Drosophila melanogaster: one gene and its partner. The gene in region 2 interacts genetically with the main gene of each other region. Each region holds a gene or a part of one and is shown on either strand. Other genes may lie near its edges.

The links.
Region 1: of Rrp6 (region 2) and Trf4-1, changing one suppresses a phenotype caused by changing the other (phenotypic suppression), as found in Drosophila melanogaster (one study listed by BioGRID).

What each region holds. Positions count from the first base shown.
Region 1 is NC_004354.4:8,559,078-8,564,184, reverse strand, and holds the start of Trf4-1 (topoisomerase related function 4-1), read right to left. Parts: upstream 3,291-5,107; 5' UTR 2,926-3,290; intron 2,491-2,925; exon of another isoform or gene 2,424-2,490; intron 1,033-2,423; 5' UTR 813-1,032; coding exon 1-812. Other genes in the region: CG12112 (uncharacterized protein), read left to right, coding at 4,162-4,264, 4,327-4,532, 4,606-4,759, 4,822-4,964. UniProt on the Drosophila melanogaster protein: Involved in a post-transcriptional quality control mechanism limiting inappropriate expression of genetic information. Polyadenylation is required for the degradative activity of the exosome on several of its nuclear RNA substrates.
Region 2 is NT_033777.3:14,881,748-14,888,264, forward strand, and holds Rrp6 (Rrp6), read right to left. Parts: upstream 4,500-6,517; 5' UTR 4,196-4,499; coding exon 4,088-4,195; intron 4,014-4,087; coding exon 3,832-4,013; intron 3,720-3,831; coding exon 2,315-3,719; intron 2,077-2,314; coding exon 1,150-2,076; intron 1,058-1,149; coding exon 977-1,057; 3' UTR 751-976; downstream 1-750. Other genes in the region: CG3631 (uncharacterized protein), read left to right, coding at 1-49, 106-313; CG33331 (uncharacterized protein), read left to right, coding at 4,835-5,863; CG33332 (uncharacterized protein), read left to right, coding at 6,103-6,517. UniProt on the Drosophila melanogaster protein: Catalytic component of the RNA exosome complex which has 3'->5' exoribonuclease activity and participates in a multitude of cellular RNA processing and degradation events.

The DNA of each region.
Region 1 (5,107 bases), on a different chromosome or scaffold from region 2:
AGCCCGATAACGCCCTCGCCATACGGATAGTCCGGCTTGCGCCACGGTTCGCCCTTGTACTTGGCGATCATCTCCATATGGTTGTTCATATAGTAGTGGGCTCCGCCAGCCTTGTTCTCCGGTCGTTTCTTCCGCGATGGATTGTAGTAGATGCTGTTCGTGCGGCTGGCGGGCGTGGTCGTTGATTGTGGCGGGTTGTTGCTGGTGTCGCTCATACTAGTGGCTGGACCAGTCGTGGTCGCAGCTGTGCTTGACGCTGTCGTCGCCGGACTATTTGTACCGGTACCTCCTGCTCCTGTTGACGTTCCCGTTCCTGCTCCGGGTCCGTTGGTTGAACTGCTATTGGCGGGTGAGTTATTGTCCCGATTCGTGGTGGAATCTGCCGACGAGCTAGTGCTGCCGCCGCTTGTGGTATTGATGTTGGTGCTGTTGCGCTGAGTGGTCCCGTTGAGCTGCTGCTGTTGTTGTTGCTGCTGCAGGATCTCCAGGGAATCCGCTCGGAAATTGAGCACCCGATTTAGCGAGCTGTAGGGTCGCGATAAGTAGGGTTTGGCCGATGAATTGTTACCAGTGTTATTGGTCGTGTTGGTGATAGTGTTATTGATGATGTTATTGTTGTTGTTGTTGTTGTTGTTACCACTATTGCTGCTGCTGCTGCTGCTGCTCGTGCTCCCGTTGATCGTCGTCGCCTGCTGTAGCTGTTGATTAAGCAATGCGCCCATCTCTTGGGCATTCGTCTCCCAAATCTTTAACCATGTGCACAGCGATGGTCCCTCCTGTTCCTTCTGAAACCAGCCAACAAATGGATCCATTCAAGACGGGTTCACACGGCTGTTGGCTGGGCGGGAAACGAGGGGGGCGCGCGTCTCTCCTTCGCTTCGTCCTTTCACCTCTATCCTCTGCGTCCTGGTGGTCTGAATATATAGACGTGACTCTATATAGATCCGATGTGATCTTTGTGCTCCACAGGGAAAAATTAATTAAAGTCGCTGCCGGGACTAAACCTCTTTGAATGCTGTCAGCATTCAAGTGCTGTAAAGAGTGTCACGAAAAATGTTAATTAGTTACCGGAGTAGGAGTTATGCGTATCCTATTCTACTACCTCTACATACGTTTAACGGTTCAAAACAATAGAATTCTCAGTTATGATCACAATATTACACTAAAGTCATTGCCATTTTAATTTCGGTATATTCTGGTATAGTAGGTAGACTTGTCAATCTTATTTGTTAACAATTAATGTGAAACAAGGCAGAACACCTAATTTGATTAATATTATTAACTTATCACTCAATAAATATGCCAATGTTCGCAGTTTTGCGAAGAGAGAGAGATTGGCTTATATTAGGAAAGTTCTGGAAGAACAAATACCCTCCATTTGTTCACTAAGTACAACCATATACATTTCGATATAATCTACAGCAGTTGTATTTCGAGGCTTTAACCAGTTTGGGACTCATTGTTTATAATAATCCTAAGTCAACTTCAAGTAATTTGATAAATCAAATAAATACTGATATCAAAATACTGTTATTGATGTACAGGTTTTAGGTTAACTCGGGGAGATAAATAAACAAAGGAATGGGGTTGAGATTGAAGGAAAGGAAACAATAGTAACAGTAGTTGTTGGTGCTGCTCTTGTTATTTTTGCTCTTTAAAAGGGGTTTGCATGCATTTTACACAAAATGGAAAGCGTAAATGGCAAACTATTACAAATTATGCGCTCTTTTTCTACAAATAGAAATGCCCCGCTCTCTCACACATCCCCTCCCTCCCACCACTTTCAAGCGAGCGCTCTTATTCACTCCTTTTTGCAAACCAATTGCAGCTGAAGCGTTTAAAGGCGCCAGTCGAAAATTGTTTTTCAGAGCGCGAAAAATCACACATACACACACGCGCTAGAAAAAAAAAAAACAAAAATGGGCCACAACAAAAAGGTTTTTCACATACGAAAAGCAAATCAAAATGCAATAAAAACAACAAGCAATTCGAAAAAAAAAAACAGAAGGAAAAACAGCTCACGAGACTCCGAGACCCGCAAATAAATGACTTCCCAAGTGATATTATATCTCGCACCAATACACTGATAGCTACTCTAGTTTTGTGCAGCGTGCGTGTGACTCTGTTGGGTGTGTGCGTTTGTGTGTGAGTGTGCAAGGGCGTACAGGTGGCCGTAGTATGGGGGTGGGAGTGGGAGCGGGACAGCACACATGCACATGTACCGAAAGGCGGCTTCGATTATGCAAAAAAAATATAATACAATAAGAAAAAAGGGAGAAGAAAGATGGGCAGAGAAACCGCTAAATGCGCACACACCTACACCTAATGCATATTTTACCCGATACGATTTTCATTTGCTGGCTGAATTTTCGGTAAAAAAAAACTTAGTTGCATTTGACAGAGGAAAACTCCCGTACACCCACACACATTTACAGCAGGCCATCGCGCACATGTACTTGTACATTTTAGGCAAATTAACACTTTCTTAATGTTCGCCAGTGTTGGCTAACGACCCAAGGAGAGCAAGTGAGAGAGCGGGGCGAAGTGATATTGAAGAAAGGCAGAAAGAGAGAGCGATTTATTGTTTTAACCGGCAAAAAACATACAGAGGCTGAAATTAGTCGGAGTAATTAATTGCAGTGGATATCGATAGACGGGCCTCGGTGTTGCCACCTGGCTTCGAAGGGCTCTCTCTCTTTACAGCACTGTCCGGGGCAAATGTAAACATTTAATTTATGCAACCGCTGCAGTAATTAAGCGAAAATCAATTAAGCAGACTACTCCAAACGCACGCCCGCTCTCATCCTCGTATTCTATCACACGCACACACATGCGTATCGAACTGCTCTTCACATGATTTCTCGCGTAATTCAGTTGGAATTTTTCACACACAATTCGTTTCTTCTTTTTTTTTAGCCGTTTTACCTTGACAAGTTTTGGTTCTCGTTGCGATTGCGTTGTATTTCAAGTTTATCACACATACATATACTCACACCTACACACGCAGCAAAACGTGAACAAAATACACATGTTGGTTATAAAAAATAAGCCAAGTTATATTATGCCAGTTGTATTATTGTGCAGCACAAAACCCGCCCAAAAATTAATGGAAAATTACAGTTGTTGTCGGTCGGCGTCGCTGCTGCTTCTTCCGTTCTTTCTTACTGTCTCACTCTCCCTTCTCACATATCCTTATAAGCACTAACAATTTCTGCTTCTCGCTCACTTTCGTTGCGCTGCCGATGGAGCTCTCTCTTTCACTCCTTGCTGCCTCTATGCCTTTTATGCACTCCCCACACACCCGCACACAGAGTGACATTTGAAGCACATACAGACGCACACGACTGGTTCTTTCGAGAATCGAACATTACCGAATTTATCAAATTGCGCTTCGCAATTGTGCATTTCCTGTGCAGATCGCAGGCCTCAATCGCGGCACGATTGTTTTTCGCCCTTTAGCAACGTTCCCTGTCAATTTCTGTGGATTTATATTGCAATTTGCGTGCGAACACGCGACCGTTTCGCGATAGAGCTGGTTCACGAATCGATTGATGAGCGATGTTATCGATAGACCTGATAAGCGAGAGGTGGATGTGCTCGCTAGATTCGCCAAGGTTGATGACTCCGCTAAGTGAATGGTCCTATTACAAAATATCGATGACATCCAAATTGCTTGTTAAATATAGTTTCAAATTTAACTGTAACATAAAAAAAATGTATTAAATCAATTTTAAAAAAACCCAACTTAGCATTTGTTATTTGGGGAAAGTCCATGCTATTCCCACCTACTCAACTGACAGGACGCATCACCAACTAAATTCGTTAAAAACATTGTGATTATTATAAACAATTAGTATTATTTATCCTGTGGCTTATGCGATTGGTTGTCATGCGATATTCTGGCTTTCACCATGTTCTCTGTACTACTGTACAGTTCCGCCGCTAATCAGACGTCGTCATCACTGATTCACCAGTTACTCATATGTGATGAGCAAGAGGGAGTTTTTGCCCGTGCCCTTACTTTCCCATTCGTCGCCTAGCGAAGGCAATGATGAAACAGCGAGGAATTCCATTTGGAGCTTAACTGTGTAGCGAAGCGAATCGCTTCCATTAGGGACTTTCCTCAATTCATAAACTAAATATACATATGTATTCACTTTAATGCTAAAAATTAACGAAGCAATGCCTGAAATCAAGAGACTTTGCCTCGCCACCGAGAATAGTCATATCGCAGCCAATGCCATGCTGCTAACAAAGATAGATGGTATGTTTGTGACATACATATCTTATAACACCGGATCATATTACATTACCTAACCCACTTAGAACTCAATTCCCAAGTCCTGTCGCAGCGCGCAGAAATCGAAAACTTGACGAGGGCGGTTAAGACACTTACGGAATTCGTTAAGCAGTCGATGAAAACGACCAAGCCGAAGGCGAAGGGAAATCCGGACGATGATTTTCCAATTATGTATGAGGAGGATCTGGTCGAAGTGAATCACAAGATAAGCCAGGACTCCAGGGGGATCTATGTAAGTTTCTCCTTCCTCATGCTTTTCCATCAATAGAATATTATATAGTTGTACTTATATGATCCCTGATCAGACGAATTCCATGCGGAAATTCCTGCGCCAGGGAAGATTAAGCCGCACCATAAGACTCATTTTCTCCGAGGACATCCTTCTGAACTACAATATTGATGGGAATCAGAAAAAGAAAAGACTAAAAGATCACGAACATCTGTTTCGTTCGCTTATGAGTAAGTTTAGTGCTCGACATCCAACTTTTAGTGATCCATTCAATAATTATCCCCAACTACAGACGCCATCGGTCAGGTGGAACCGACGCTACCCTCGGAAAAAGTCTTATTCAAAGCCATGAGATGCGTTAAGAATTGCGCAGCCAAAAAGAAGGGCAAGGTAGATGATGACCCCTTGTCCGTTTTGAGCGTGGAGAAATCATAACTGTGCCCATGTGAGATGACATAGTAGAAACAAGGATTTAAATATAAGTAATGATTTACGGGCGAATCAATCCGAATTGAGGATGAATACCCAAATAGTGGTTGATGGATCATCATCACTTTGTTGAGAAGTTATCACTTCAT
Region 2 (6,517 bases):
CGAACAAGGATCACTTGGACATATTGGCGCCACTCTACCAATGCTGCCTGTAAGTCTTCGACCAATTTCCAAATACCTATAACTATTTACGTTTATACCTTACAGTCTGCGAAAGTCCACGTGGGATCGCCTGCAAGTCTTTTCCGGCGGCGTACTCACGGAAATCATCGATCGACTATCCAAGCAGGATGCTCTCTATCCCCTGATTACGGATAAGCATAAAAAAGGAGTGGAGCGACGACTTCTGGTGGTCTATGCTGTTGTGGAGCACTGCATGGACATCGAGGGCGACAAAATGTTCAAAACTCTGTAGTTTCAGCTCAAGATTGGGGCTAATGGCCAGCACTAGAGCTTTAGGAACTCACTTTCCACATCCTACTTAAGCTAAAGTTAGATAGAGAAATTATCGTATTATTTTAGTCCATGTTTTACTTCTGTATTTCTTCCAAATATTTAAATGCCCGAAACAGGTTTTTTCCTATTTTAAATTAAGTTCTTTTGTCCTTTCTTGTATTGGTTTGAATGCTAGAAAAGTTTTCGAAAAATTGAGATGCCATCCAATTAGGAATTAAATCATACAAAATTCGTTGTGACGAAATAAGTTTGAAATTTAAACCTATTACCATGACATTTCCCACGTCCCAATTATTATTTGGTTTTCCCATATTTTTTCAATGACCATCTCTTAAAACTGTTCTTAAATATTGAACTACAAACCGATCCATAACAACATATCCGATAGTCTAGTTTAATGAATAGTTACGGTTGTTATTTAATAGGTAATATTTTAGAAAATTGCAAAGCTCAGAAAAAATAGTTTTGTAACTTGAAAAGAATTTATAAACAATCAAAAATAAACACTTGTTTATTTCTTCATCAGTTTCATCAATCAGTTTTCGTGTTGCTCGCATTCTTACTATTGAATTCACATATATACCAGTTATGTATATTTTACAGACTTCGTCACGATTGCAGTTCATTTTTTGCCCTCTTTTCTTACATTACTAAATGTAAAAAGCTTGTTGAACTGCTTGTTGTTCCGATTGTTGGGACGGTTCTAAAAAAAAAAACAAGCGTTATAAATGTTTAGTGAAGAGATCGTTTCAGTAAAAGCTAAGCCAGCTTGTTAATACTTTTCATAGCACTCACCTTGCCGCGAATTTGCTGCTTGATTTCTGTGCCCCGGGCTCTTTGCGCTCCTCCCTTGAATTGCCGGAAGTCCACGTTCTTGTAGTCAAAGTTGCCTGTACCCTTGTGCTGCGGAACCTGCTGACTGGAGCTCTGCGGGTGGTTTCCTCGATTCTTGGCCTTGAATCCGCGCTGGAACTGATTTTTCTTTTGCTTGCGGTTGTTCTGTGCCGGTGATGGTTTCGGTGGCTCTGTGGCTTGCCTTTCGATAGGAACCTCAACGACCTCATCATCGCTTTCGCCTAAAGCCTGCTGAACTTTTTCGACTGGTTCGATCTTTACCGGCGGTTTGGTTTGTGAATTCTCGTCCTTGCGAGGTCGCTTGCTAGCAGTCGGCTGCTGTTCCGGATCTGTTTTCACGTTCGCTTGTGGGTGCTTGCGCTTCAGTTGTTCCTTCAGCGGGACGGAGTACATGTCATCATCCTCCTTTCCGATGGCGTGTGCCTCCAGCTTAATGTTTTGCTCCACAGTTGGGGCTGCTGGACACAATTGCCTCTTTTGCAACTCACTTCGCTCCCTGGCCAACTGATCGGCCTTCAGCTGCACCATCAGAGGTAGGATGGCGAGATAGCGTTTGTAGGGCATACGCATTGTCTGGCTCTCCTTGCGAAGATGGGCCCAGCGCTGTTCCTCTTCTTGTGTCGGCTTGGACTGCTTTTCGAACAGAGCCATGGCTGGTGCCGCTAAGGTTGGATCTACTTTGGCAACCTCCTCCTTATTGGGCACCTCCAGTTTTCCTGTAGTTGAATTACGTTTCAACAGCGTTGGCAGGTCGTCGCGAATCTCCTCCAGTTGCGAAAAATCGTGCGGACAGTAGAGCTTGCTGCTAAAGTCTTTGGTCGACGGAGGCAACGCTGCCTGTGTACTACTGTGGGCTTCCAGGATCGGCTAAAATCGTAAGTAAAGTCAAGAACATTAAACATTAGATATACCACCCCAACACTTGGTAACATTAAACCTATTTTAGTTGACCTGCGGTTGTGAAATGAATTGAACTATAAGGTGAATTCAGAACATGTTCTTCATTTCAATGTTAGTTACAGTTAATTGGTAATGAAAAATTATCGGTATAGGCGCCAACGTTGATCGAGTTGCAAGCGCTGCTTGAAACCGCCAAGAAACTCACTTTGACCAGCGGCTGATCGCGCGCCTTGAGGACAATCTGGTGAAGCGTGTGCAGCTGTTGGCGCACCAGCGGCGGAATGGGATTGCAGCAGGCGAGGATTCCCTGCATCTCCCTTGGAAGACTCTCAGCGATTTGCAGCATCATGTGATTGGGCAGCACATAGCCGTAACTCTCGTCCTCTGACCGCGCCGTCGCATCGCGCCACTCGAAGATTCCGCGAAGTGCGTACAGTTGCCGGTTGTCGAAAGAGCGCTTCGTTTTTCTTACTAAATCCAAATGGGATTCTGGTCCGATGTGAGGCTTATTATAACGCTTCTTGCAGACATCCGTGCTCTGTTGATAGACACTGCCCAGCAGACCTGGTTCGGCATGCTGCTGCAGCAGATCGTTTGTCATCCGTCCGTAAACGTATATCAAAAAGTGGGTATCCTGACGAGCGTAGTCCACCAGCTGCTGGGGAAGCGGTCTCATCCGCCAATCGGCCAGTTGCAGGCTCTTGTCCACATCCAAGTCCAGATAGTGCTTAAGCAAATATGCCAACGATAACCTTGCCATATTCAAGGCTTTGGCAGCCCGATGCGTGTCGAACATGTTGACGATATACAACGATAAGTCCCGCTGAAGCCACTCAATATCCAAATCGGCGCCGTGCAGTATCTTCAGCTTCTTGGGATCGGTGAGTACCAAATTTAGTATATGCATATCATCGCGTAGGATCAGGGTATCAAAAATATAGTCTTTGCTGCGAGTAGACATCTGGACCAGGCAAGTGATGCCCATGAAGGTGCGATACGAGTGGTGCTCCACATCTATGGCGATCTGGGGCGCTTGTCTCAGTTCCTCCAATGCCTGCTTCAGTTTTTCCACCGTGTCAACCACCATTAGTTCGGTTTCTGCCATCAGAGCTGGAAGCACTGGCTTTTGTTTTTGGAACTGCTCCTCCGGAGGCTGAAACTTAAGCAGCTCAAACTCGTAGGGATGCAAATAGGATTGGACATTGCCGGCATCATCGTATTCGGGCAGCAGGGCCAGCGGTTTAAGAGAATTAGGTTTCTCCTTGAGTCTTGGAACAAACGGATTCTGGGCACTGTTATCCACCGGCTCCCTAAATTGCGTCTGCGGCCGAACGATGTTCTTGGCGGTGAAGAGACGAGCCGAAACCATGCTGCGTTGGGGTGTTCCTGTCGTTCTGTTCCAGCTGCCTGCCTTTGGAGTCCCTTGGGTTTGTGGGGAAGCTACTGCGGGCTCTATGGATGTGGAGCTGCTCATCACGTCCACCTGGGCCTCTACGACCTGTTGTGTATTTCTTCGCAGACCACCTTTAATGTCTAGATTAGTCGTAATGCGCTCGAACAGTACGTCGTTGCACTCCTGCACCATCTCAAACTGCTCTTCCGGTTGGCGTCTGTTTAAAGAATAAAGATCTATTGTTATTTACAGATACAGGTACCAACTTTGATTTCAATGGCTGTGCTGTATTTTCAACATTTCGAATAATGTCATGGTTAGAAGCTTACTTTTTGATGTCGCCCTTGATGTCCTTGGAGTGCAGCACGTTCCCGATGAGCGCCACCACCCGTTGGGTCAGGTCTTCCATAACACGTGCGTAGCCTGGATAGCTTAGGTAAAGGGCGCGGGCTGTTCCTTGTGGGAAAGCATTAGCGGCTTTTGTGGCGGCGATTGCATTCTTGAACCCTTTCTGGAATGTCAGAGCAGAACACGTAGGGATTGGATTGAAATATACTTATGTACGCTGGCTGAATTGCTACCCACGTTTGTGAATGCCTCAACATCTTCTGAAGCGGATTTCTTTGGCGGCTGGTCTGCTTGGGCCGATTCCTCTTTGGCCTCCTGGTGAACTCTTTTCGGGGTTCGCGGCATGTCTGTATAGTGTTTCCTTGTCGAATGTCTTGTGTTATTTTCGTACAAATTTTTTGTCGTTTTACAGATTGTGGAAAATGTGCGTGTTTTCTCTTCTTCTTTTTTGAGAATAACAACAGCTTGAATTTGGAGTTTGTCAACACTACCGGCGGCGAAATTTGATCACTATATAGCACTAAAACGGTGCTGACCGCAATCGAATTAAATCGATATGAAGGTGTATTTTACAAATGTTAGCCAAATTTGGAATGGTGATATTTCGTTATGTTAAACCGTAAACAGAACCTGCTTTGATGAACAATACTTTACAAATTCTTTTTAAAAGCAAAATGTTATTATTATATTGAACTAAATATATATTCCTTTCAATATAAATTAAACTGAATAAATATTTTCTTTGTTAAATATTTGGTCTTTTCTTTTATTTTTTCAAGAGGGCGCTAAATTGTTCAAGTGAAACCCTGAACAAAATTTTCAGCCAGCTGATTGCCAGTGTGTACACCCCTCCGGCGCCGGCGAAAAGCGAGGAGCTTGACCGAGAAGCATCAACTCCATCCAGAAGAAGTGGAGTTACGTGCTAAAAAAAAAGTAATTATAAAGCCTAAGTTTAGTCCAATTAGGAGGTAAAACACGCACAAGATGCTGGACCTATACAGACGCACGGTGGCGCGGTTTCCTCTGGGCAGTGTCAGCTATATGTTCGCCTACGGATCCGGCGTCAAACAGCAGGAAGGCTATGGAAAAGTCGGCAATGGAAACAACCTGCGTCCTCCGCCGGGAACCGTTGTGGATCTGGTCTTTTGCGTTCGTGATGCTAGGGGCTTCCATGCGGAGAACCTGCACCGTCATCCGGACCACTATTCCGCCCTTAGGCACCTGGGACCGAACTTTGTGGCCAAGTATCAGGAGCGTTTGGGTGCGGGTGTCTATTGCAACACGTTGGTGCCTCTGCCAGATGTGGGCATTACCATAAAGTACGGCGTGGTGTCGCAGGAGGAGCTGCTGGAGGATCTGCTTGACTGGCGGCATCTTTACTTGGCAGGAAGGCTGCACAAACCAGTGACGAATCTGGTCAATCCTTCTGATAATCCTCCCCTCAAGGCTGCGCTGGAGAGGAATCTTGTATCCGCGCTGCAAGTGGCTCTGCTACTTTTACCAGAGAAGTTCACTGCCTACGGACTTTTCCACACCATCGCCGGACTGAGTTACAAGGGCGATTTCCGTATGATTTTCGGGGAAAACAAACAGAAAGTGCACAACATAGTTAGTCCGCAAATCAATGACTTCTTCGCCCTATACCAACCCTCCCTGGGACAACTTTCCGACTATGTGGCGGTAAACATGAAGGGCCAGGAACCAGGGAGCCGGAAACCAGCCATAATCTTCGAGCAGGACAAATCCTCATCGGCTACATGCCAACACCTGCGACAGTTGCCCCGAGAGCTTCAGAAGCGATTGCAGCGAAATGCCGCCTGTCGTGGCGACTACACCCAGGTGGTGAATCACCTATCCATGGCCTCCCAGCTTCCGGAGGTGCTGCAGGCATCCGTCAACGACATTGTGTGGCGCAGCAGTGTCACGCAATCGATCAAAAATATTCCCAGTGCTGGCATTCTCAAGTCATTGGCGTATAGCTATCGCAAGGCTCAAAAGACATTCGCTGTTTAGGTTTATTTTTCGGGTTAATCCCCTGGCTGCCAATCATTCTACCGACTAAGTTGTCCCATCCAGCTGCATTTTGTTAAATACTTTTAAGCTTTAAAGTTGTTAACTGCAATATAATGTTTAGCCCAATCCAAAGACCTGAGTTTTCTTGGGGATTCTCTCTTTTCACATCCAATGGACCTCTTTATAACCTCAGGAATATCTTGGTTTACTTATTATTTCATTAATTGTATTTGCAGATCATGTCCAGCGACGACAATAGTAGTGATAGCAATTCGTCCAGCGATGAAAGGCAAAGGAAACGGAAGCTTAAGAAGCACAGCAAAGATGTGGACAAGTCCAAAAAGAAGAAGTCGAAAAAGCACAAGAAAGAAAAGCGTCGCCACAAGGAGAAGAAACGCAGCAAGCATGAGGAGGAGCCACCTGTGCCTTACACGCAACCTCCACATTTAATTAATGCATCTCCGCCAGATGTGGCTACAAACAACGAAGATTCCTTTGGTCCCGCTTTACCGCCGCATTTAAGGAAGACCCAGCAGCCGGAACTCCCTGAGCAAAGCCAACCAGCCCCACAACCGCAGGCCATGATAGGACCCGTCCTGCCCAGCAATTTGACCCGGGAAAAGTCTCCTACTAAGGAAGCGGAAGCTGAGGACG